Schizosaccharomyces pombe: one gene and its partners. The gene in region 3 interacts genetically with the main gene of each other region. Each region holds a gene or a part of one and is shown on either strand. Other genes may lie near its edges.

Evidence for each region.
Region 1: of nup132 (region 3) and ulp1, a mutation in one rescues a mutant of the other (synthetic rescue), as found in Schizosaccharomyces pombe (one study listed by BioGRID).
Region 2: of nup132 (region 3) and ulp2, a mutation in one rescues a mutant of the other (synthetic rescue), as found in Schizosaccharomyces pombe (one study listed by BioGRID).
Region 4: mutations in nup132 (region 3) and nup131 impair growth when combined (synthetic growth defect), as found in Schizosaccharomyces pombe (one study listed by BioGRID).

What each region holds. Positions count from the first base shown.
Region 1 is NC_003423.3:2,365,217-2,369,735, reverse strand, and holds ulp1 (SUMO deconjugating enzyme Ulp1), read right to left. Parts: upstream 2,642-4,519; 5' UTR 2,620-2,641; coding exon 913-2,619; 3' UTR 673-912; coding exon of another isoform or gene 546-672; 3' UTR 543-545; downstream 1-542. Other genes in the region: pdc2 (topoisomerase II-associated deadenylation-dependent mRNA-decapping factor), read left to right, coding at 1-281, 320-490, 546-672; arrestin-related substrate adaptor for RhoGEF, Art1, read left to right, coding at 4,006-4,519.
Region 2 is NC_003424.3:1,763,650-1,768,587, reverse strand, and holds ulp2 (SUMO deconjugating cysteine peptidase Ulp2), read left to right. Parts: upstream 1-1,854; 5' UTR 1,855-1,876; coding exon 1,877-1,897; exon of another isoform or gene 1,898-1,943; coding exon 1,944-1,999; exon of another isoform or gene 2,000-2,057; coding exon 2,058-2,251; exon of another isoform or gene 2,252-2,332; intron 2,333-2,399; coding exon 2,400-3,246; intron 3,247-3,315; coding exon 3,316-3,420; intron 3,421-3,421; exon of another isoform or gene 3,422-3,474; coding exon 3,475-3,711; intron 3,712-3,795; coding exon 3,796-4,252; 3' UTR 4,253-4,355; downstream 4,356-4,938. Other genes in the region: erp2 (COPII-coated vesicle-associated protein Erp2/3/4), read right to left, coding at 169-801; transcription factor TFIIH complex ERCC-3 subunit Ptr8, read right to left, coding at 4,387-4,938.
Region 3 is NC_003424.3:2,775,367-2,781,694, reverse strand, and holds nup132 (nucleoporin, WD repeat Nup132), read right to left. Parts: upstream 4,408-6,328; 5' UTR 4,325-4,407; coding exon 4,141-4,324; exon of another isoform or gene 4,085-4,140; intron 4,077-4,084; coding exon 772-4,076; 3' UTR 642-771; downstream 1-641. Other genes in the region: serine/threonine protein kinase (CK1 family) Cki3, read right to left, coding at 9-78, 145-279; tRNA 2'-O-methyltransferase Trm13, read left to right, coding at 5,119-5,444, 5,524-5,560, 5,612-6,328. UniProt on the Schizosaccharomyces pombe protein: Functions as a component of the nuclear pore complex (NPC).
Region 4 is NC_003423.3:972,382-978,562, forward strand, and holds nup131 (nucleoporin, WD repeat Nup131), read right to left. Parts: upstream 4,466-6,181; 5' UTR 4,252-4,465; coding exon 2,791-4,251; intron 2,757-2,790; coding exon 2,663-2,756; intron 2,622-2,662; coding exon 2,236-2,621; exon of another isoform or gene 2,197-2,235; coding exon 1,842-2,196; exon of another isoform or gene 1,801-1,841; coding exon 668-1,800; 3' UTR 641-667; downstream 1-640. Other genes in the region: serine/threonine protein kinase (CK1 family) Cki2, read right to left, coding at 1-67; ilv1 (acetolactate synthase catalytic subunit), read left to right, coding at 4,728-6,181. UniProt on the Schizosaccharomyces pombe protein: Functions as a component of the nuclear pore complex (NPC).

The DNA of each region.
Region 1 (4,519 bases), on a different chromosome or scaffold from region 3:
ATAGTCCTTAGGGGAACATTTGACGTTAACGGTGAGCTGCCTTTGGACGTTGTTTCCGAAATGAGTTCTTTCACGCAGTTCATCATCCCTCCATTGCTCACTATTGTTAATGAACTTGATTTGGAAACTATAAATAACTTATTTTCTCAACTTCTCAATCGCACTAATGCTGTTTATTTAATACAGACGAAGATTGGTTTGTCGTTCCTTACTCTATTCATTAGTCGCGCAGAAATTTTAAAGCAATCTGGCACTGTAAATCAAAATGAAAAAGAAGAATGGTACGTTATACATGTATTTACAGCATCTAACTATTTAGGGAAAATACATTCAATGTTATGTTTAATCGCGTAAAAGGTCATTTCTCGACGGTATTCCCACCACCTAACGCTCGAGCTTATGCTGATGAATCTTATCCATGGGAATTCTTAGCAGCTTGTGCTACTGCTGCTAGCTCTGAACAACATTTTACATTGGTTTCTGAAACTAGGTACGTTAAAATATGTCTAGTCGAGTTTTTGTACTAACAAATATGTAAAAAATAGGGACAGAGTACTTGATAACATCATTACTAGCAAACGGGCACCTTCTGAAATTGCTGTTGTGCGCATCAGCAATGTTAATTTGTTTTTAAATGCAATGGGGCTCGACGCTCGTCAGCTCAGCGCTTAAGTTTGTTTATAAGATATGCGGGTATTTTTTTTTTCAAAAGCTATATTTGCTGAGATTCCTGGATTCAGATTTATTAATTAGAGTATTCCCTGCTACTTAAAAAATGCATACGCTCTAATATAGATTTAAGTAAATTATGTCCTTTTTGAAAACGCTGAATATGAAATAAAATGTATTGAACGAGAAAGAAATTAATATAAAAAACGATAAGTATATAGACAAAAAGTTTATAGCACATATTTAATAGATTTGTGCATCAATAATACTAGCTGCCATTTTGATTCGTAGTTCAGGCATATCATTTTGACTAAACTGAACAGGAACATTTCTAGATACACATTCAGCAGTTTTACAAGCAAAAACTCCACAATCATGTCCATTTCGTTGTCTTGGAGAATTGTCATCCATAAAATTTTCCCAATCTGACACGTCGACGGCACCTTTTGTTTCTGCAATATAATAGTCGCGCAACAAATCAAAAACTTTACCAGGGCTTCCGGCCAGCGAGTCCCAGTATTCAAATCGTTTCTTCGATTTGTTAATAACAGCCATACACCAGTGGACATCCAGATGTACTGGTATAAATACAGCATCCATATCTGCAATATTAACGCGTGCCTTTTTGGCCCATCTTCGAACACCCGCGTATCCACGGCGCTGCAAAGATGTATAAAAAAAAGTATTAAACCCATGTACCCGAGGTAAGGATGAATCAATTTTAGAGCGTTCCGAAATCAAATTCATGTAAAAATTAATTACCTCGTCATTTAACCATTGTCTATTCCGCAGAGTATGCAAGTCTTTAAGCGTGATTGGAATATTAAATTTGGTGATGATGGGTTCAGAAGAGGAAACAGAATTGCTTTGGTTTAAATATTTCAGTGCACGCTTTCGAGCATTATCAGGAAACTCAAGTTCCGGAATGAACTTGGGGCGAGTGGGGGGTGGAGATATTTCCAAACCTTTTAATTGTAAAAAGTCAACTTCGTTCCAATCTTGAAAAGATTCTGTTTGCTTTTCTTTCAAATCTCGAATTAGCAACAGTAATGATTTTTCATTTTGGATATCAGAAGTAACGATATTCCGCGCTGGTTGCTGATCAGATTGAACGAACCTAAAAGAGGCTTTCCGAGACGTTGAATCATGAGGACTTTTCTTTCTTAACGTAGCCGTAAAAGGAAGGTGTTTATATCTGGCGTGTTCGCTAACAACATCTAGCTGCTTGTCCGGTGTAACAATGTCAGAGTTTGGATTTGGAGAGGAGTTCGTAAAGTGCAGAGGAGAAGAAGAGAAAGGTGTAGGATTAAAAGAGTTTATTTCGTCAGCCTCAACGGAATTACCGTGGGATAATGTCGATGAAGTTGTTTCCTTAAAAACCGCAAGCTGTAACCGATTACTAACAGATAAATTTTTGGAAGACCGATGAGGTCGGGGGAAGTATCTCGAACGAGACACACGAAAGCTTGATGGAGATAATGCTTCGTCATGGATGTTTTGAGAATGCGTGTCAGAGGCAGGGGAAAATAGATTTTGAAGAGCAATGGGATCCAAAAATTTTTCATCCTTACTAGAATTTGTATATGAATGAGAAACGGTAGGTTTACTATTTCTGTCAAGAGTATTGTGAGAAGACATATCAGATTCGACCGTCACGTAACCACGTTCAGTCTTGGAATTTATGTGAGAAAACCGAGATTCAGGGGCTTTAGTAGAAGGCTCTAGTTTTGAATTTGTACTATTACTATTAGATGGTATCGCCTCGCCAGCGATGCGATCCAATTCAGAAATGGGAGTTTTTGTCAAAAAAAGTTTTGCATAAGTAACTGTACGAGAACAAATATTAACAAACGTGTTCAAAAATGTCTTTTTACGTTTCCTTTGATACTCTTCATATGTAATACAATCATCCTGACGCGTCCTTTTTGACGCATTGCGTTTTCCTATCATTCACGAGTGAATTGTAAAGGGTGAATCGCGAGAGGCTGTGACACACAACAACCTGGAAGGATGAGCGCGTTCTTGCTTACGTTGTGAAAATACCTCGTTATACGAGTATTGCGGTATTTACTGTAAACAAACTACTTTTTGTGTTTATATTACAATGTTTGGCTTTCGAGCCGCTAGCTTTGCTTGTAAGATTTTAAATTATGTTGCTTAACATGTAAGTGTCCGTTTATCTTTAGGGCCTACTGTGTTTGATTTCATTACACTAAAATCCTACTTCAATGTGGGCTATCACTACTTTTAGCCGTGAGAAGCTTACAAGTATATTAATGTAAATTAAATATCATATTGCTTTTATAAAATATACATTCATGACAGTACACTGTGTTACTCTTTTAAGCGTTTAATAAGTAAGTGGTAGCGTATCGCTACTAGTAAATTGTTTTAAGTTCTGATATATGCCCTGAAAATGAAAAGATAAATCGGAAAATGTGAGTTAGTTTTATACAAACCATTTAACACTTCCTGAAGGGATCTTTGAATGAACAGAAAGCCCTATATTCAGGTTATCCTTCAAACAATCATTATTTCCTAGATAGAAAAGAGTCGTACATCAGCAATGAATTTCCTCAATTATCGCCGGGGTTTTTTATCATACTACGGCTCATATAACTATCAAAAATTAGCATTACCAGTTGCTCTTGATTCTTGTTTTTCTCGATTTTGAATTTTTTGTTATGCATTGTCTGTTAACTATGCGTGAAATATCTGTTCTTTTAGAGATTCGTTTGATTTTTAGTAAAATAGTATTTACTTGCTTTATTTCCCTTTCTTCTGCTGCTCAATAATCTGATATCTTGCTATATTGTTTTCGTTTGAATTCAGTCTCTCTTCTATATTTCGTATATGTATGTTGCGATCAATCGTGTGTTATGGTTTCAAAAATTCAAAAATTCAAAAAAAAAGCCTTCTGCTGTAAGAATAAACATATTTTAGGCTTTCGTAAGTGAATTTTAAGTTGAAAATACCAATTTCAAAATTAGGCTATTAAAGTCATTTTAGTTTTTACTATTGTAATCAAAATGGAACTTTTTTACAACAGATACTAGCTTTAGATGCTTGGCTATCAATTGTAGGCTTTTGATTTTAATTCTATGGAATGGAAACAAAAGTACATTTTTTGGCCTAAAATTAGATTTTTATATAATAAAATATTATTAATTTCATTGCTATAAAAAGTCACTTAGCAGTGTTTAAGCGAGTGCTTAAAAGATTTTATTTAGCTATCTAGATCTGACATTGCTGCACTGAACCAACCTGTCTACCATTTGGTAGATTCAACTTCCCATAACCAGCACCAAGCCAGAGGAACTCACTAAATGTAAGAGCATGACATCCCCGTGTACGCTAATACGGCAATTTTCTCCTTTGGAGATACGTCCGTTACCACATTTGGATTTCCAAGCTGGATTTAATGGGATACCAACTTCAGCTCCAAGGTTGGTTGGTATCGTCCAAGTTCGAAGTAAAGAAATTCACCAACCTTTGGCTTTGGTTCAAATAACGTTAGAATTATGGAAAATTGAATCAGTGGTAATACCATCCTTGGGTATAAGTAATCACTTATCAGATAATAAGTGTCTGGCAAGGCAGGTTTTGTTTCCACTTCATTCCGAGCATCCTGAAAATAACATACCTCCTAATGATAATAATTATTCTATCAGCGATTTGTCTATCAAATCACCTCCACCCTCCCTTACTAGCGATTGGATAGTAGATTCTTATGCGTCTGATCAGGATAATCCTTCTGTTCATACTCATAACCGTACTACTCCACCTATCCCTCCACCTCATCTTCCTAATGCCTCTGGATCTTCGGTATATCAACCTCCTTACACTCCGT
Region 2 (4,938 bases), 1.0 Mb from region 3:
TAATCCTTGATTTAATAAAGACGCATGTCGATTGTCTTATTTAAATCCTGGCATAATAATATAATCCTGAATAAAACAATAGAGCTATAAGCTTCGTTAAGACTGATTAAAGGCATACATAGGCATGACAGATATGAATATTGTTAGAAAGGTGACCGACTAGTCAGTTTATACACCTCTCCGACCAGATCGTTTAAAGAATGTCTTTACAATAAAGACTTGAAGAGCAGAAAGAGCGACAACCATTATAGATTCAGCAAGACTAAACCAAAAGATGCGGGCTTGAGTAGACTTTACAGTAGAATAATTACGATGCTCCCGAGTTTTGAAGTAATTTTGTACACGGTCAATTTCAGATAATGCGGTTGAGATCTCTAAAACAGTACTTTGCATGCTGTCCTTTTTGTAGTCTTTGGCTTCATCACGGGTTAATGCAGGAAGAGAAAGTTCATTTTCCATAGTGATTTCCATAGTCACAATTTTATCAGTAAACGTAGACATATGATTATCAAAACAGAATTCATATTCACCCTTTTCTTCGAGGGTGAAAAATACATCAGCCTGTCTTCTCTTTTTGCCAAGTGCAACGGTCTTCTGAGATGGTGCCTTGATCATATAATCGACATCAAAAGAACCGCCAGACTGAACAGCGTACGTGAAATGTGTTTTTTCGCCAGTGTGAAAAGAATCTAAGTAGTAACACTGCTTCTCTTGGTTTTCTAACTTGAATGTTAACTCAATAGCCGAAGCTAAGCTGGCGAGCAAAAATAGTGTTATGCCGCTTAGAGTAATTACGCGCATTTTCTATAAAGTAAGGTTAATCTTCAAAAATTTAATATAACTTTTAATTCCAATGTATCAAAACAAATTCACTTACGATATGTGAGTAGTTTTATGCTCAGCTGCAGAGTAGGCTGTTGCTACGTTGAGTGTTGACAGTGTGGAATATGCTGTATCGCAAAAGGCAAGTATCGATAGCGTTCTGGGAATATAAATTAGAGTATTAGTCTTAATAAATACTCTTAAAACAATTTTACAAATTTTTCTTCTTTTAATCATTTACAAAATTGTTTATGAAAATGAGTATAAACCCAGAATCATCAGCATACTAATAACAAATAGTAAACCTTCGAAAAATAAAAGCAGAAGTTTTTCTTCTTAATTATCAAAATAATTTGGTGGTTTTAAATGATCTAGTCCCAAACATAGTTTAGAAAGGAAATCGTTCAAAACTAACTTTCTTTACTATGATATCATATAATAAATATTCAAGTAATATTGGTATTATTATACTTCTTCATGATATTATACAAAGGTCAAACAGGTTTTCATGCGTGAATGTCCCATGCTCTTACTTGTTCTTAATGTATTGTTGTTATTTTTTTTTATAATTTACATTGATTTTAATGCGACTATGGTTGCAATTGACTAATGTATCTAATGCATTCGTAAATCAGAGATAAATACAAGTTTAAATAAACGATCTGTAAAATATATTCTAGTCAATAAAAAGAATTTAGAATAGTTTACAAAAAATCATTTTCTTGGAAGTTAACAGCAACATTTTGTTCGCTATTCGTTATTAAAAAATCAAAACAATCGTAATATGATTAATCAAAGGTTAGGAAGAAATCAGCTTAAAAAGCAACTATGCCTTTCGTTTTTTATTCATTTACATTGAGTTAAAGACACTGTTAGAGATACTTACATCCTTTGCATTGGTTGATACCCTTTATTTACATTGTTTTACCCAGATCATCTACCGCAAAATAATGAATCCTTATGTTTTATTTGGACGCGCTGTGGCTCACAAAACCTGTGCCATTGATTAAGTAGTAGGCTTCTCTATCTCGCCAAAACAGGTATGTCATGAAGAATGAGAGATTCCAAAGATGCCGTATGTTATTCTTTTTCGTTTCTTTTTCTTACTAACTATTTTTTAGCTGGATGATAAATCAGGGTCATTCACTAGTCTTCTTCCCCCGTTTGGAAAACAAAGGTTTGACTTTACCTCGTCTTTTAATTCACATTCCTATATTAATATTTTTACAATCTAGAGGTACTAGCCCAAATGATGCTATTCCTATTAAGAGCCCGCTAGAAAGGCTAGCGAATAGTGTAACATCCCCGGAAAAGCCAACGGTTCGAACTGCTATACAGAAGGATTCACCAAGGCGGAAGCAGATAGATGATGATCAAACACCTCCTAAGCACTTAAAACGCTCTTTTCAAAATGTTACAGTGGTTTCTCGTAAGTCGCAACTTTTTTGCTCTGATCCATGTGTAAAGCATGAGGAAATGCAAAATGTTTAGAACAATTCCTCTTCTTCAGTATCAATAATTGATTTTTTAAAATAAAAACTAACTTATTTTTGCCTCTTTTTGGCTACTTTGTTTAGCACGAAAAAAGAAAACAATTGATGTGGTCGAGCTGCCTTTCACAAAAGGGGGTTATGGAGGTTTTTACGATCCTAGGCCTGGGTGTTTAAAATTTACTACCCATGAAATAAATGTTTCTTACACAGATACTAGCATTCCAGTCATTCACATCCCTGTCCAATTGTTGAAGCGGTGTTGCTGGCTTCAAGGATGGAGAGACAATTTGGTGGAATCTCCAGTACATGCTATTCATTTAACCTTAAAAAATAGAGATATGAAAAGAATTACGATAGGTGATTCTGCCAGTTTATTATTTTTATACAACCCATTACATGTAGAATCCGCTAGAGCTGGCCTTGATCTTTTGGACCAATCTGACTTTTCTTTAACATCTCCTAGTTCGGCTAAAGAATTTAAACAATTATTGACTTTAAAACAATCCACGATCATCCCTCGCACTCCCCAGAAAACTGTAAGGTCAATTGTTAAACAGACCTCGTCTCCACATTCCTCAAAAATGCCTAAACATTCCCTTCCATCCTCGCCAACTCCATTTAATTCCAATTCTGGTGACTCTCTTCTTTCCAGGATTAAAAATTCGAACCAGTCATCGTCAGAGCGTCCAACGGCAAATAACGGAGCTCAAGAGCAAAATCAGTCATCAAGTTCTGCTGGAAACACTTCCAATGACTTTTCAACTTTATGTTCTCAAGGTTCTGATAAAACACTTCTGTCTGATGCATCTTGTACCACTATTCTCGTATATCCGTTTTCTGGAACAAATTCAATTGCCATTACTAATACCGACCTTACAAGACTCAATGAGGGAGAATTTTTAAACGATACTATTGTTGATTTTTATTTGAGGTAAGTTTTTTTTTTTTTTTTTTTTTTTTTTTTTTGGAATCTTCGCTTCTTTTAACCTCAAAAATTTAGATATTTATACTGTAAATTACAAACACAAAATCCTTCTTTGGCCAATGACACTCATATTTTTAACACATTTTTCTATAATCGTCTTACTTCAAAAGATAAAGATGGGTATGTAACAGGCTTTACTTCTATCAATTATTTGATCACTAATGGGTAATATAGCAAGCGGCTAGGTCATAGAGGAGTTCGAAAGTGGACTCAAAAAGTTGACCTTTTCCATAAAAAATACATTATTGTTCCTATCAATGAAACATTTCATTGGTATCTAGCTATTATCTGCAACATTGATCGATTAATGCCTGTGGACACAAAACTGGAAGAGCAGGATGAAATAGTTATGTCGTCTGTGGAACAACCGTCTGCTTCAAAGACTAGACAAGCAGAATTAACGAGCAATAGGTATGTTAAAGGTTTACAATTTTATTGATTAAAAGGAAAAATATATCATAAATCATTTGATTCAGTTTACTAAGTTAATTATAGTCCAGCAATTTTGATTTTTGATTCTTTAGCAAATCTTCATAAAGGAGCATTAAATTACTTACGTGAATATTTACTGGAAGAAGCTTTCGAAAGGAAAAATGTACATCTTAAGTCCACTGATATACGGGGGTTTCATGCAAAAGTCCCGCAACAAAGCAATTTTTCTGATTGTGGTATATATGCGTTACATTTCGTCGAACTATTTCTTGAAACTCCTGAGCAAGTGATAGCCAATACTTTAGATAAATCTCTTAGACGGACGGATGCTAAAAACTTCGACCAACAGTGGAACCTTCAAAAGATTAACACGATGAGATGCGATTTGAAGGGTTTAATTCGCCGTCTGTCAACTGAGTGGTCGTCTAACAATGAACGACAATCGCTTAGCAGCGGAAGCAACGATGAAGAAGATAAAGAAAATGATGATGATTTGGCAATATTGCCAATCACAAATTAGAATTTACAAGGGAATTAGGGAAATCATAATTTCATATTAAAACTTAACGAAAGCATTATTATCAAAAATTTTAGCGTAGAAAAATCAACAAAATTCATGTCTATATCGTGTGTATGCTAGCATGTATAACTTCGCTAGCGACGTTTAGTATACAGGTGCTTCCGAAATAAGGCATGATGTTCTTTACTGTCCTTTTTCAGCTGTTTATTAGCACTCTTGTTATATTCCACGTATGCCATATTGTCGGCACCAGCCAATGTACTTAAAGAACCACTAGAACGTTTAGCTTTCGCCGGTGCTCTAGAGAGACTTCTGGATCCAAAGCTAGTATCCTCACCGTCATCCAAATCAGCTGCTTCTTCATTTTGTAGCAATACTTCCTGCAAAAGCTCAAGTCTCTCCGCTTTGGAGGCGTAAGCCAAATTTGGCAAGTTCTCCATACCCTTTAAATTAGTGATGACTTTAAAAGCATAGCCTTGGTCAATTAAAAATGCTTGCCGTTTACTGGAATAATACATTTCCTGAGTGTCTTTAGATACCAAGCTATAGAAAAATGCGTTAAAGCCTTCATCATTTCGTCGCTTGGCACGAAGAATACGCCCCAAACGTTGAGCTTCTTGACGCCTAGAACCATAATGAGAAGAAATCTGAATCAAACAGGTTGCTTCAGGAAGATCAATAGACGT
Region 3 (6,328 bases):
ATACTTACGCAAACCCATTAGTAGCTTATAAGTAAGGTATTCATCACGAAGTTGAGGAACCTCGCTTTTTCTGGACTCCTGTGAGAATGCAACGTTAGTACTGAAATTGAGAATCTGGATTGCTCTCTAAAAATAATTACATACAAATTTTAGGGCAATTGGCTGATTATTGATTAAATTTACACCTTGAAATAACATGCCAAAAGATCCTTCTCCAATCTTTTTACCAACGCGGTAATGAACACCAACGACGTTGGAGTGAGACGAAGTAGTTGACATGATGGTCTTTTAAATATTCCACTATGTTAAATGCAGTTTTCTTTAAAATGTTTTTGATTAAAAGAGCGTTCCGGTTTGTTAAATGTTGATGTCTTTCGCACTCGAAAGTTAAAGATGGTTACGGGTAGAAAAATGAAGTAGATGCCGCTAAAATCCACAAAGATTCCATGAAAAACACAAAGAAAGTGACAGTTCAATTATTTCGTTTACAGTTGACAACCTCAGAGGAATCCGAGGCAGCCAACACTGTACTTGGTAGTGGACAAGTAAGCAGTACTGGGTTTTCCACCGATATACCAAGCTAGCGTAGTATAAGGTTGGAAAGCTGAAAATAGATATAATGGTATACTTTCTAGTTTGAGTTAGTGGTAAACAAAATTTTATTTTAGATTCATTAGCTAACAAAATTGACAATGATCAAGGGACTCGGATGAAACCTATCTAACCAAAATTCTTTTATTATCTAATGGGTTTGTATGATTAAGATAAAGGTTAAATCGTATCGCAACTTAAACACATACTAATATAGCAAGTATTTAAATTAGTTTTTGTAAGATAATGATCCAACTTTACGCTTTCACGATTAAGTACTTTGGTAACTTCAGTCACATCTCCAAAGCGAGCGGGTGGGTAAATAGAAATGAGATTTTGAGGATCATATCCTTCAAACTTACAAGAAGAAAGCGAACCAGGTCGGATAAGTCCTTCATGAAAAAGTCCGTTTATGGTCACAGCCTCTAGAGTCCGATATAGTGCTGACATTCGGAATTGGGTTTCTATAATTGCATCGTTTTTACCCTGGGTATCCAAAACTTGGATCCAGTTGTCATGTAAAACAGCTCGTCTCCAAATGGTATTTTCATAAAATCTCTTGGCATCGTCCGTTAATCTGGTGGTTAAAAGAAGACGCAAAGCAAGATAATAGTCGGTAACTTCACCTTCTACAAGGTCCTCTCGACGGTATAAAGAAAAGCTGAGGTACTCCAACAGTTCAGTTGCTTCAACCACCTGTCCGGCAATGAACTTTTTGACTACGCGCTGCATAACCTGACGAGCGATAACAGGCGCTACCTTGGCACCAATCAAATCATCCACAACAGCTTCTACAAGCTGGTATTTTTTCCCCTGAGAACGAAGCCGTTCAACGACTGGCATAACACTTTTGGAAACCATTTTTTGAATATGTAGTTGCTCAAGCTTTTGTTCCACTAAAACCAAATCTCTGATATTTCCAGAGTTGGATGGAACTGCATAAAGAAATAATTTACTTAATGAAAGCTCAGATTCCTTTTTATCAACCAGCTTTTCTTGTTTAGTAGCCAACTGTAGCAATCTATGCGACGCAGCATCGTAGTCTCCTAACCTCATATCATGCATCCATGAAATCTGGTTGTAATCTCGAGATTTAAAAAATTGTTTCAAATAAGATTTGTTGAACCTGTCGCTATTAAGCAACTCTAATGCCATGCCATTTTCAACAAAATAGTCATATAATATAAATGCGAATTTTATACCAAAAAGATCAAGGTAATTGTTTAGTGCATCCGTGAGCTCATTGTCCTCATAAAGTTGATAGCACAATTCTACTAAAGAACGATAGTCTGAGTATTTTTCAGCGATTCGAATGGCACTGCTGCCTTTACCTATATCTGATAAAGTTTGAACCCAAAATCTGCGATTAACTGCAAAAGCTTCCTTGACATCTTGAATTTCACTAGCATCCTTACCACAACGTTGTTCTATCCATCTAATCCTTTCTGAGTACGCGTCAAAGCAAACCTCTGTCAAGGCCACTAATTGTACTTCTAAATTTGAAACGACATTTCTTAGCACCCCTTTATCCTTTATTTTAAAAGTATTCTCCACATCCGAGGTTCCTTGATGTGACTGGACAAGCGCTGACCGAGTAAGTTCAAACTGTCGACACAGCAAAACTAAAGTTTCTGGCGTTGACGTCCAAGGAACCTCTTCTCCAAAGGTATCAATACTTAGCTTATAAATCTTCTGGGACTCACGGCGATAAGCCAAAGCCGAAGATTGAATTGCCAGAATTACTTCATTAGCTTCCATAATTACATCAAGAACTTCCAATGGAAGTTCTTGAACTCGAGAACCTGAATCTATGCAAAATTCATGTGCTTGCGCTATCAGTTGATCAATGCTTTCAATATTATGCAAAAACCACTCTCTCAAAGCGTTATCCGACGAAGCACTTTGAGTGAGTCTATAAATTATGCGTTGAAAAATTAGGGAATGACTAACAGTACTAAATTCAGTATCGATAGTATTCCATAAATATCTAACAGAATTGCATTTTTCGCCCATTACTCTCAACTTGTATAGTACTTGACGATCAACATCCAGTGACATAGACCTAATATACCGGACAAGATTATTCAAAGAATTTAACCTACAGGACAGATGCTGCATTAAAGAAGCAAATAATGGGGGTAAATGAGTAGACCTTGAATTCAAGATGTCCATTCCAAGATCGACAATAATCCTTTCGAGTTCAGGCTTTTTGATGGAGCGAAGGTAATTGCAGGAAAAATCGATCGGATTACCAGGAAGGAAGGAGTAAAAAACAGCTTCTTCCAACTTGCTTTTTACGAGAGATTCGTTATTTGCAGGATGCTCCAAACTATGAACTTCTATTTCAGCGATACCAGAATAAGGGGTTGCTATAAAACATGATTCCGTAGGAATAGAGTATTTTCCTAAAACGTATTTGTAGCAAGTAGACATAAATATGCCGCCAGAGACATTAGTATTCATACGAATAACCTCTTCCCATGATGTTCTCGATACAATATCTTTATCATCCTCTTGGACGTGCACTATAATAACAGCGTCTGTTAAAACCACAAATAAAGAATTCCCTGATGATGAATAATGTAGCTTTGAAGACTCAAGAGATTTAGAAGAAAATGAATACAATGGATGAATATTCATTACCGAGGGTGAGGAAATGTCAGAAAAATCAAGAGAAATAATCATGTAACGGTAATTAATAGAATTTTTCCAACATACTAAAAAACTCACTAGATTTCCGTTTGTGGGGCATATAGTAAGGTCTAACACCTCAAGTCCGCTTGCATCGGGGCATCCTTCTCTCAAAACCTGCTTAAAAATAGGAGACAGATTCATACCAGAAACAAGCTTATTTTCCAACTTCAAATCATATATCTCTAGTAAACCAGATGCCTCAGCGACATACAAAAGATGTTGGTATGGAGAGAACAGTGGTGGGGATTTTAAAGCAATGATATGAATGCTAGGGTAGTTAAAAATCTTCATTTTCTGAAGAATAGTAGAAAAAGTACTAATATCGGAAGCAAATAATTGTACAGAAACGTCAGGTTGACCTGCAGGATCGCGCAGTTGAACAGAAAAAAGACGACCAAAATTGGTAGATATGATGAACTTCATGGGGTTTGAGCAACATAAATGCTCACATTTTTCTTTGGGGAGTAACTTTATCAAACTTTCCATTCCCTGGGGACATATATAAGATTGAGCGAGAGCATTCCCAATTGAAGTCCAATATGCTATACGACCAGAGATAGGCATTACAATCAGCAATCCAGGTTCTTTGTCAGAAGCATCAGAAGGGACGAAGGCTGTCAAGGCATTTTGCCCGGAAAAGCCATTTGAGTCCTCTTCAGGTAGCGGAAATGTTATAGTTGGAGGTTCTGCTGTTCCCAAGCTTTGACGATACGACAAAATAAAGCAAGCTTTTCGGGAATTAATTAATGCATAACCGATGTCTGTGTAGCATGATCCACTTAAAGGATGGTCTAAATTGAATAGAGATGTTAGTTACCTAGTAATGCGCACAGTGAAGAAATAAAAGCTTCGTACCGTTGATAATTTTAGAATTAAAATGTTTAAGTAGACACGAGACCTTGAAATTTTTAGATCTGAGCCAATCCAATGAATTATTATAGGCAGTGCTATCCAAAAGCGATTTCTCAACAGAAATTCGTTTCAAAGGGCTAAAAGATACGACTTCTTCATTTTTCCTTTTACCAAGGATAGAACTCATGACTATTTGACGATATCAGTACTGATACTGGCGGTTATCGTCTATTTGACTCCTTAATACCCTTAGGGATAGAATATGGCTCTGAGAAGGACGAATGTCGACGATTCCTACAAAGAAGGGTTTGAAATCAAAAGAACTTTACTTAGACTCCTATTTTTTACTCAGAATTAAATAGTTAAGCTACTGATAAGAAATTCAGAGTAAAATCAATATATCAATATTTCAAAATCGGTGTATATGTCATATACACTTTTTTCACAAATGTCAACACAGTTTGCTCTTTTGTAATTAATTATTTCTTTGCTTTGGTATATTTAAGGAAGTGATACTTAGGATATTGTCTTTTCCCGGAATGTTGTATAAAACAGAGGTTTTTAAAAAGTAGTTGCGTTCTTCAAGGTCAAGCTTAAACTACTTTTTTAGAACGCATGATCAATTTATATAAATGTTTCATGATTCCGTATTTGAATTTTTTTTATGAGCACGCCAATGGTTGGAAACATCAGATTTCTTCGTAAAATCGCACATCTGGTACAGAAAACTATAAAAGTAGTAGAAAGTTTGGGACTGGGTTGGAAACAACTGTAATAAAGAGAAAAACGCGAAAATACTTTATTTTGAAGTGTCTGAACTGCCGAATCGGAAAGCTATTTTTCATTAGTGTTGTAAATTATCCGAAGGACTGAAAAAGACCAAATTTTACAAGAAAAATAAAATTATTGTATTTTAAGATTTACTTTTGTGATCAATATTCAGGCTAATATCACTTAAGAGTTAAAAAGTTATCTAACTTGATGGCACGAATAAAAAAAATTTTTACTCAGGAAGAATTAAAACAAATCCCCTGTCCATATGATCACAAGCATACAATTGTGCGACATCGTTTAGAATATCATTTGAAGCGTTGTAACGCGCGTCCTGTTGAAAGGACCGATCCATATTACAAGAAGGACATAAATATCTCTACTTCAACAGATGCTTCAGAATCTTCCTCCTTTGAAATCGTCGATTTAAGCAAGGAAGAGTTGTCAAAATGGATTTGTTTGTTCAACAGAATTAGTGATTCTTTACCGACTCCTCAAAAAAAGGTGTTGTTTCACCCGGCAATGAATGCAAGACTGTATGTACGAAGTGCTTTCTCATTAGCTTTTTATTAAGAAGATGGTTGCAAAAGTAGAAACTAACTTCATTTTTAACAGTGAAGAGGGTACAAAAAAAAAGCATGCAATTCAGCAGGTATGTTCGACATGATTTCTTAACGGCAGTCAAAAGCATTAACCATTTTAGGCATCATTGTTAGGACATATGGAAAAACTACATTATTTTGACAACCAAGGATCTATATATTACGAATTCGGTGCTGGAAGAGCCGAGTTATCAAGATATGTTCAGCACTGCTCCCAACAAGAAAACGTATATATACTTATTGATCGTGATTCAAATCGAACGAAGCATGATAGCAGGATATTAAAAGATAGCATCAAAAATAACTGGCCTGAGCCAAAAATTATAAGGTGTAAAATTGATATTAAGGATTTGAAACTCGATTTTTTTGCTAGTGAATTTCGGAATAGTGGTAAACCTGTATTTGCATATTCTAAGCATTTATGTGGTGCTGCCACAGACCTTACCTTGAATTGCTTAAAGTCCTCCCCTCCTAATGCTCTTGTAATTGCCCTTTGTTGTCATCATCATTGCCGATGGAGAACACTTTCAACCTTTGCTAGAGAACAATTAAGTCATTGGGGAATTTCAAATCCACAAGAGTTTCAAATATTACGACAGATGACTGGGTGGGCTGTAAACAGTTTGCGTGAGCATATGCATGCTTCTGGAGGAGCCGACTCACACATCAGTGGTCTTTCTCATGAGGAACGCGTAAAAATTGGGTTGAAGTGCAAGCATATTATCAATTACATGAGAAAATTAGAATGCGAAAAAATGGGTTATGAATCTTCTCTCGTATACTACGTTGGTGAAGAAACGACTTTAGAAAATGTTGCA
Region 4 (6,181 bases), on a different chromosome or scaffold from region 3:
ACGATCCCTCACCTATTTTACGACCCACGCGATAGTGAACCCCTACTACGCTCGTTTGGGAATTCATGATAAATAACCCTGTCACAAGGAATTGACCGAACAGATAAAATTTTTTTTATTGCAAGGACTATGCAGTTTTTATGTAGTCAATTTGTAGCCTCACTAACAAATGCCACACAAATCTCAGTTTGTTTTCACTGCATTCACCACAGAGATTGAAGTCCAATTGCGATTCAGTAGCCGACCAAAAACAACAAAATTTAGAAAACCAATTACTATAATTTAATAGAAGTTACAGGCTTTCTTTCGACTAACAAATGATTATGTGGTTTGAGTGTTTTAGTGGACGTTAGTTGTAAGGTGTACTTGGATGCAACACACTAGGCCTTAGCTTAATTTCCAACGTAAGGGTGAGGCTATCCAGGACAGGGAAAAAGCCCCGAAGGCGCAATCATCATAATAAATCAAGAATCTATAATAAAAAAATTTAATTATTTTAAGCCGTAAATATTCTAACCAGTGATTATCTAGCATCTACCATCGTAAAAACGGAGTTGTCGGAGCTGAGGCTATACGATAGATTATACAAACATAAGTAGTACTAGGTTTAAACAGGTGTTTATCGATTACTGAGGAAATGTAAAGTAATATATAGCAAAATTTCATTTCATTGTTTTGTTGCTACGTCCAGAAGTTTCGGAATCAGAATGTATAACTCTCTATCTTTACATAGTACTGAGAAAATTTGCTTTTCACGAAAAAGCTCCATTTGATAATCTTCCACTTGCGACTCAGAAAGTGAAGAATATACACTTTGCAAAAAATTTTTTTCCGATTTCAAGTAATGTTTACTTTCGTCGTGAATATTGTGTTCCATATGTTGTAACCATATTAAAAAGTCTGATTCTAACATAATTTCCTTTACCATTGGAAAAAATGAAGATTCTAAATCTTCATGCGCATCGATGATTTCTGCCCAGTTCACCTGTAATAGAAAACGGCGATATACGAGATCTTTTAAGTAAAAATACACGTCCTTAGTGATTGTAGCTCTTTCTAATAACTCTAAGGCCAAATCAACTTCTTTGAATGAACATTCCCGTAATGAAAAAGAAGAAAAGAAATCTACCATCTCACAAAGCGTAGTGTATTCGTTTTGAATTAATCGCTCAACAGCACTAGACACGAGCCAGGCTCTGATAGAGTTTTCTGATAGATTTACACAATTGGAAGTTACTATTGCTTCGACAGCTTCTCCCTCGTCTTCTGTAATATCCACAAGTGATGAAAGCATTTCAGCATATTGCTCTTGAATAAGCAAAATGGCTAAATGATTTTCAATCACCTCAGTCTCATTTGACAATATGATATTTTCACCTTCAATTCTATTAGTCCATGAGTAGAGCTTTGCTAGAGCTAACTGCGAAATTTTACCGATAATCCTGTTTTCTTCTGGTTCACAATCACGGAAAAGAATTTCGGAGGCTCGTCCATAATTTCCATTTTGAGCTTCAAATATCCACAAAAGATTCAATAAATCATTGGCTTCAAAAAAAGATATTAAAAGTGATTGATACTCCAAGAAATCATGAAGCAAAGACGCATACTGCTCTGTATCAACCAAATAAAAAAAAATTACATCTGCGAATTCTTCTTTGTATTTATTTAAGCATGCTTTTTGCTTTTGAAGCTTAATGGTAGGATCCTTTGGATCTAGACAATCCAGCAAAATTACCATTGTCTGAAAGTCTTTAACTTTTTCCGCCAAGTCGATTGCCTTTTCCAAATATCCGACAGAAGCTTCTTTGTTAGCGGAAACAAGAAAGTGAGAAACAGCTTACCTAAATATTGTAACCATTCTTTTCGTGAATTGCCAAATTCTTCTTCAAATTTTTGAAAATTATGCGATTTTACTATGGTATCATCTGTTCCATTGTGCAAATCAAAGATCAAAAGGCAATTTTGTTCCACCAGATGCAAAATCTGCTTCCGAAGCTTGTTACTGACTTTTAATATGTGTGCATCTTTCGAGTCACGTACATCGCGATGCAATGATATCGAATCTTCGATCTGTTTTCGTAGTAAATCTAAGTGATCAACTTCAACTGTCCAAAGGTCGCTTCTAATCACAGAGGATGGATCAGTAAATTTTGATATTTTTTCTTGCCTATAAGCAAGCTCATTTCCAAAGATAGTCTAATATTAGTAAACCTCGTTATTTTATAAGAAACATACCCCATAAACGTTATTAACATTTACTATTACTTCAATTCTTTTTTGTGCGTTGCTAGCATCTTGGCCAGATATTTGAGAATATTCCGAGCTTAAATGCTGTAATAACAAATTTATATTCAGGCACTTTTTCAAAAAAAGTTCATCAATATTATCATTTGAAGACATTATTTTCAATACTCGTCGAAGCAAGTTAGACATTTTTTCATTACACATCAATAATTCATATAGGTCTGCCAAAGCACTGCAATAGGCAACTTTTAGCCATAATTGAAGTCTATTAGAAGGAGATAAATGTAGGTATTTGAAGGCAACAAGAACTATTTCCATCAAGTCACGTTGCTGAGAATGTAGTGTTTCTAATACAGACATATTTTTTTTACATGGCGCTGATTGCAATTAGTAATATATCATGAAAAAATTATCTTACTCGTATAAAGTTCATCACAAAGATTAAAGACTGTATTATAGACTTCGCTTTCAGAGAGGTTGTATGTAAAGTCAAAATTTAACAAAAATTGTTCCTATATGTTAGATACGAAAGAATTAACAACTTACACGGAACAAAGGGCTTTGCGATGCAAACTGGGAGAGACGACTTCGTAAATAGGTGGTTGCACTAAAGCTGGTTTTCAGGTAGCTAGCAGAAGATTCAATTCGGATTATACCATGCCCTTCTGTTAACAAGATCAATGCTGGAGTTTTTAGTAAGGTGTGCGTAGATTTTTCATATATCGCATCTTCCATGCCAAAATCCAAAACCCGAGATTTGGAAGTTAGGTTGTTCACAACCAGGTTTTCTTCGACATAAAAAGTGCCTTCTTTCCCTCGCACTTTATGAAACATAGCAAAAGTGACATCGAAGACGCAAAAAACAACTGTACCTGGACTTGGTAAAAATATTCGACACACTGATGGAAGAATTGCAGAAAGATATGAGCGTACATGGCAGAATTGTGAAACATGAGGTATCATCTGATGGTTGAAAGAAATAATGATTGCAGCATAATTGAATAATGAAGCATTATCACGCCAGGAAACCAAACAAGCTAACGTATAAGGATCCGAGGTTGAAACAGAAAAATCAAGGATTAGAAATCGATTTACGTAGGAAAAGGATTCCTGAATACTATCTAAAATTATATCATAAATGTCAAAACCACGTAACAAGTGGTGATCACCAGTCCCGAATATTTCCCAAATTCGCAATGTGCTTCCAGAATGCATAGAATAAACTAATCTCTCACCAGGTCCTTTTATTGAACCACAACGTATTGGAATAACTCTTCCTGAAGTAAATGCAAAGATACTGTTGTATAACGACAGCAAGCAGTTGGGGATGTGCAATCCAGGAAATAGGATTCGAACCTGAATAGAGGAATTGCCATCGCTATCTTTTAAATTCAGATGAAGCAACCGACCTGAACTCAGAGTAAGGAAAAAGCCAGCAGGCTCAGCACTAACCAAATTTTTACAGCTTTCATATCGTTTTAGTTGAATCCTGTAATGAAGAAAACCAGGAAATTCGGGAGCAGAAACCTCAACGTTCATCAAAGAAGTTCTTTCCCAGTAGAAAAGGTCGCCCGAAGCAGGCCACAAAAGTAAAAAGCCAGGCTCTGCTGATGTTGGATCTGGCTTAACAAATCCAGCTAACGGTGGGCTATTTAGACTCTGCTGATCTAGAATACCCGTAAAACGTTCCCAATCAAAGCATATTAAGTTTTGGGGCTGACTTCCATAACCAGCAATCCATGCCTTTCGAACTTTGACACTAATATACAAATAATATTCCAAAATAGAGTCAATTAGTCCAACAACTGGCGCATCATGGATTGTAAAATTGCCAACCTTAGGAGCAGATATTTGGAGTATTTTGTACAAGTCATTTGATGCACAGACTTTCGGGTATTCTGAAGTAGCTAATGTCTCATGTTTGTTTCCGTCGGCAACTTTTTCATGTTTTCCTGCAGGCGTAAAAGCTTTTTCATTTTGAAAAAACCGTCGATGTACAATAAACATTGCAATTCCTCTAATAAGAGGCTCACTAATGTTTAAAAAAGCGAAAGTATCTAAGATCTCTTACGTGTTAAACAGATTATGCTCAAAGATAATTCTGACGATTTTCTAAGCTGAATCGATAGGAAACTTATAATTTAGGATCAAGAAAAATTTATTTGACGTTTTCCAGCATTTACTAATGTTTAAAAAATTAAGGAGACATGGATAAATAGATAAATTGTATTCCTACATCATCTGAACTTTTTAAAGAATAATAACACGACTTCAAAGGGTATAGTATTATGCATCGGTATATTTAATCTCCGGGGTACAGTACTTATCGTTAACAAATCTGATCTTTTTTGTGGTGGTGAACAACCAATGTTTTTAGGCAAAAATGAACCTGCTCACTTCTCATACCGCTCAGCATACCGATCTTTTGCAACTTGAAAGATAGCTCTTTCTAGAAAGGAATTGAGGGTTAAAAGTTATTTATAATGACTGTGCTGGCTCCCCTTAGAAGATTGCATACGAGGGCGGCTTTCTCGTCTTATGGACGAGAAATTGCCCTTCAAAAGAGATTTTTAAATTTAAATAGTTGCTCAGCTGTGCGGAGGTATGGCACCGGCTTTAGTAATAATTTGAGAATTAAAAAATTAAAAAATGCATTCGGTGTCGTTCGGGCAAATTCGACCAAAAGCACCTCTACAGTGACTACGGCTAGTCCTATAAAATATGACAGCTCGTTTGTTGGAAAGACTGGGGGTGAAATTTTCCATGATATGATGCTCAAGCATAATGTTAAGCATGTATTTGGTTATCCAGGTGGTGCTATCTTGCCTGTCTTCGATGCAATTTATAGATCTCCTCATTTTGAATTTATCTTGCCAAGACACGAGCAAGCTGCTGGACATGCAGCCCAAGCTTATTCCCGCGTTACTAAAAAACCCGGCGTTGTATTGGTTACTTCTGGACCCGGTGCTACGAATGTGATTACCCCGATTGCTGATGCATTGGCCGACGGTACTCCCCTAGTTGTATTCTCTGGTCAAGTAGCAACCAGCGCAATTGGTAGTGATGCATTTCAAGAAGCTGACATGGTTGGTATTTCTCGTTCATGTACTAAATGGAATGTAATGGTCAAAGATGTTGCTGATCTTCCCCGTCGTATAGACGAAGCTTTTGAGATAGCTACTTCTGGACGCCCTGGCCCTGTATTGGTTGACCTTCCCAAAGATGTCACTGCTAGCGTTTTGAAGGAGCCCATTCCTATACTGTCTTCTGTACCATCAATGAATCGCAGAATGAAGGAAGTCTTAGAAGAGGGCTCCAAGAACGTTACTGCCAAGATCGATCGTGTTGCCAATTTACTAAAATTAGCCAAGAAGCCTGTGATTTTCTGTGGGCATGGTGTTTTAGCTAATCCCGAATGCCCCACTTTGTTACGCAAGTTTAGCGAAAGGCTGCAAATTCCTGTTACTACTTCTTTGCTTGGACTTGGTGCTGTAGATGAACGTTCTGACCTTAGTTTGCATATGCTCGGTATGCATGGTAGTGGATACGCTAATATGGCCATGCAGGAAGCCGATCTTATCCTTGCTCTTGGTGTTCGCTTTGACGACCGTGTCACCGGTAACGTAAGTTTGTTTGCTCCTCAAGCACGTCTTGCTGCTGCCGAAGAGCGTGGCGGTATTATTCACTTTGATATTTCACCCAAAAATATCGGTAAGGTCGTACAACCTACTGAAGCAATAGAGGGCGATGTATACGAATCTCTAAAGCTTTTAGATTCTGCTACTAAAAATATTAAAATTCCTTCCCGATTTGACTGGTTATCTCAAATTCAAACATGGAAGGAACGCTTCCCTTTCACTTTCACTCGTAGCGCTCCTGGTGAATTGGTAAAGCCTCAAGAAGTCATTCAAGAACTTGACAAACAAACTTCTGACAT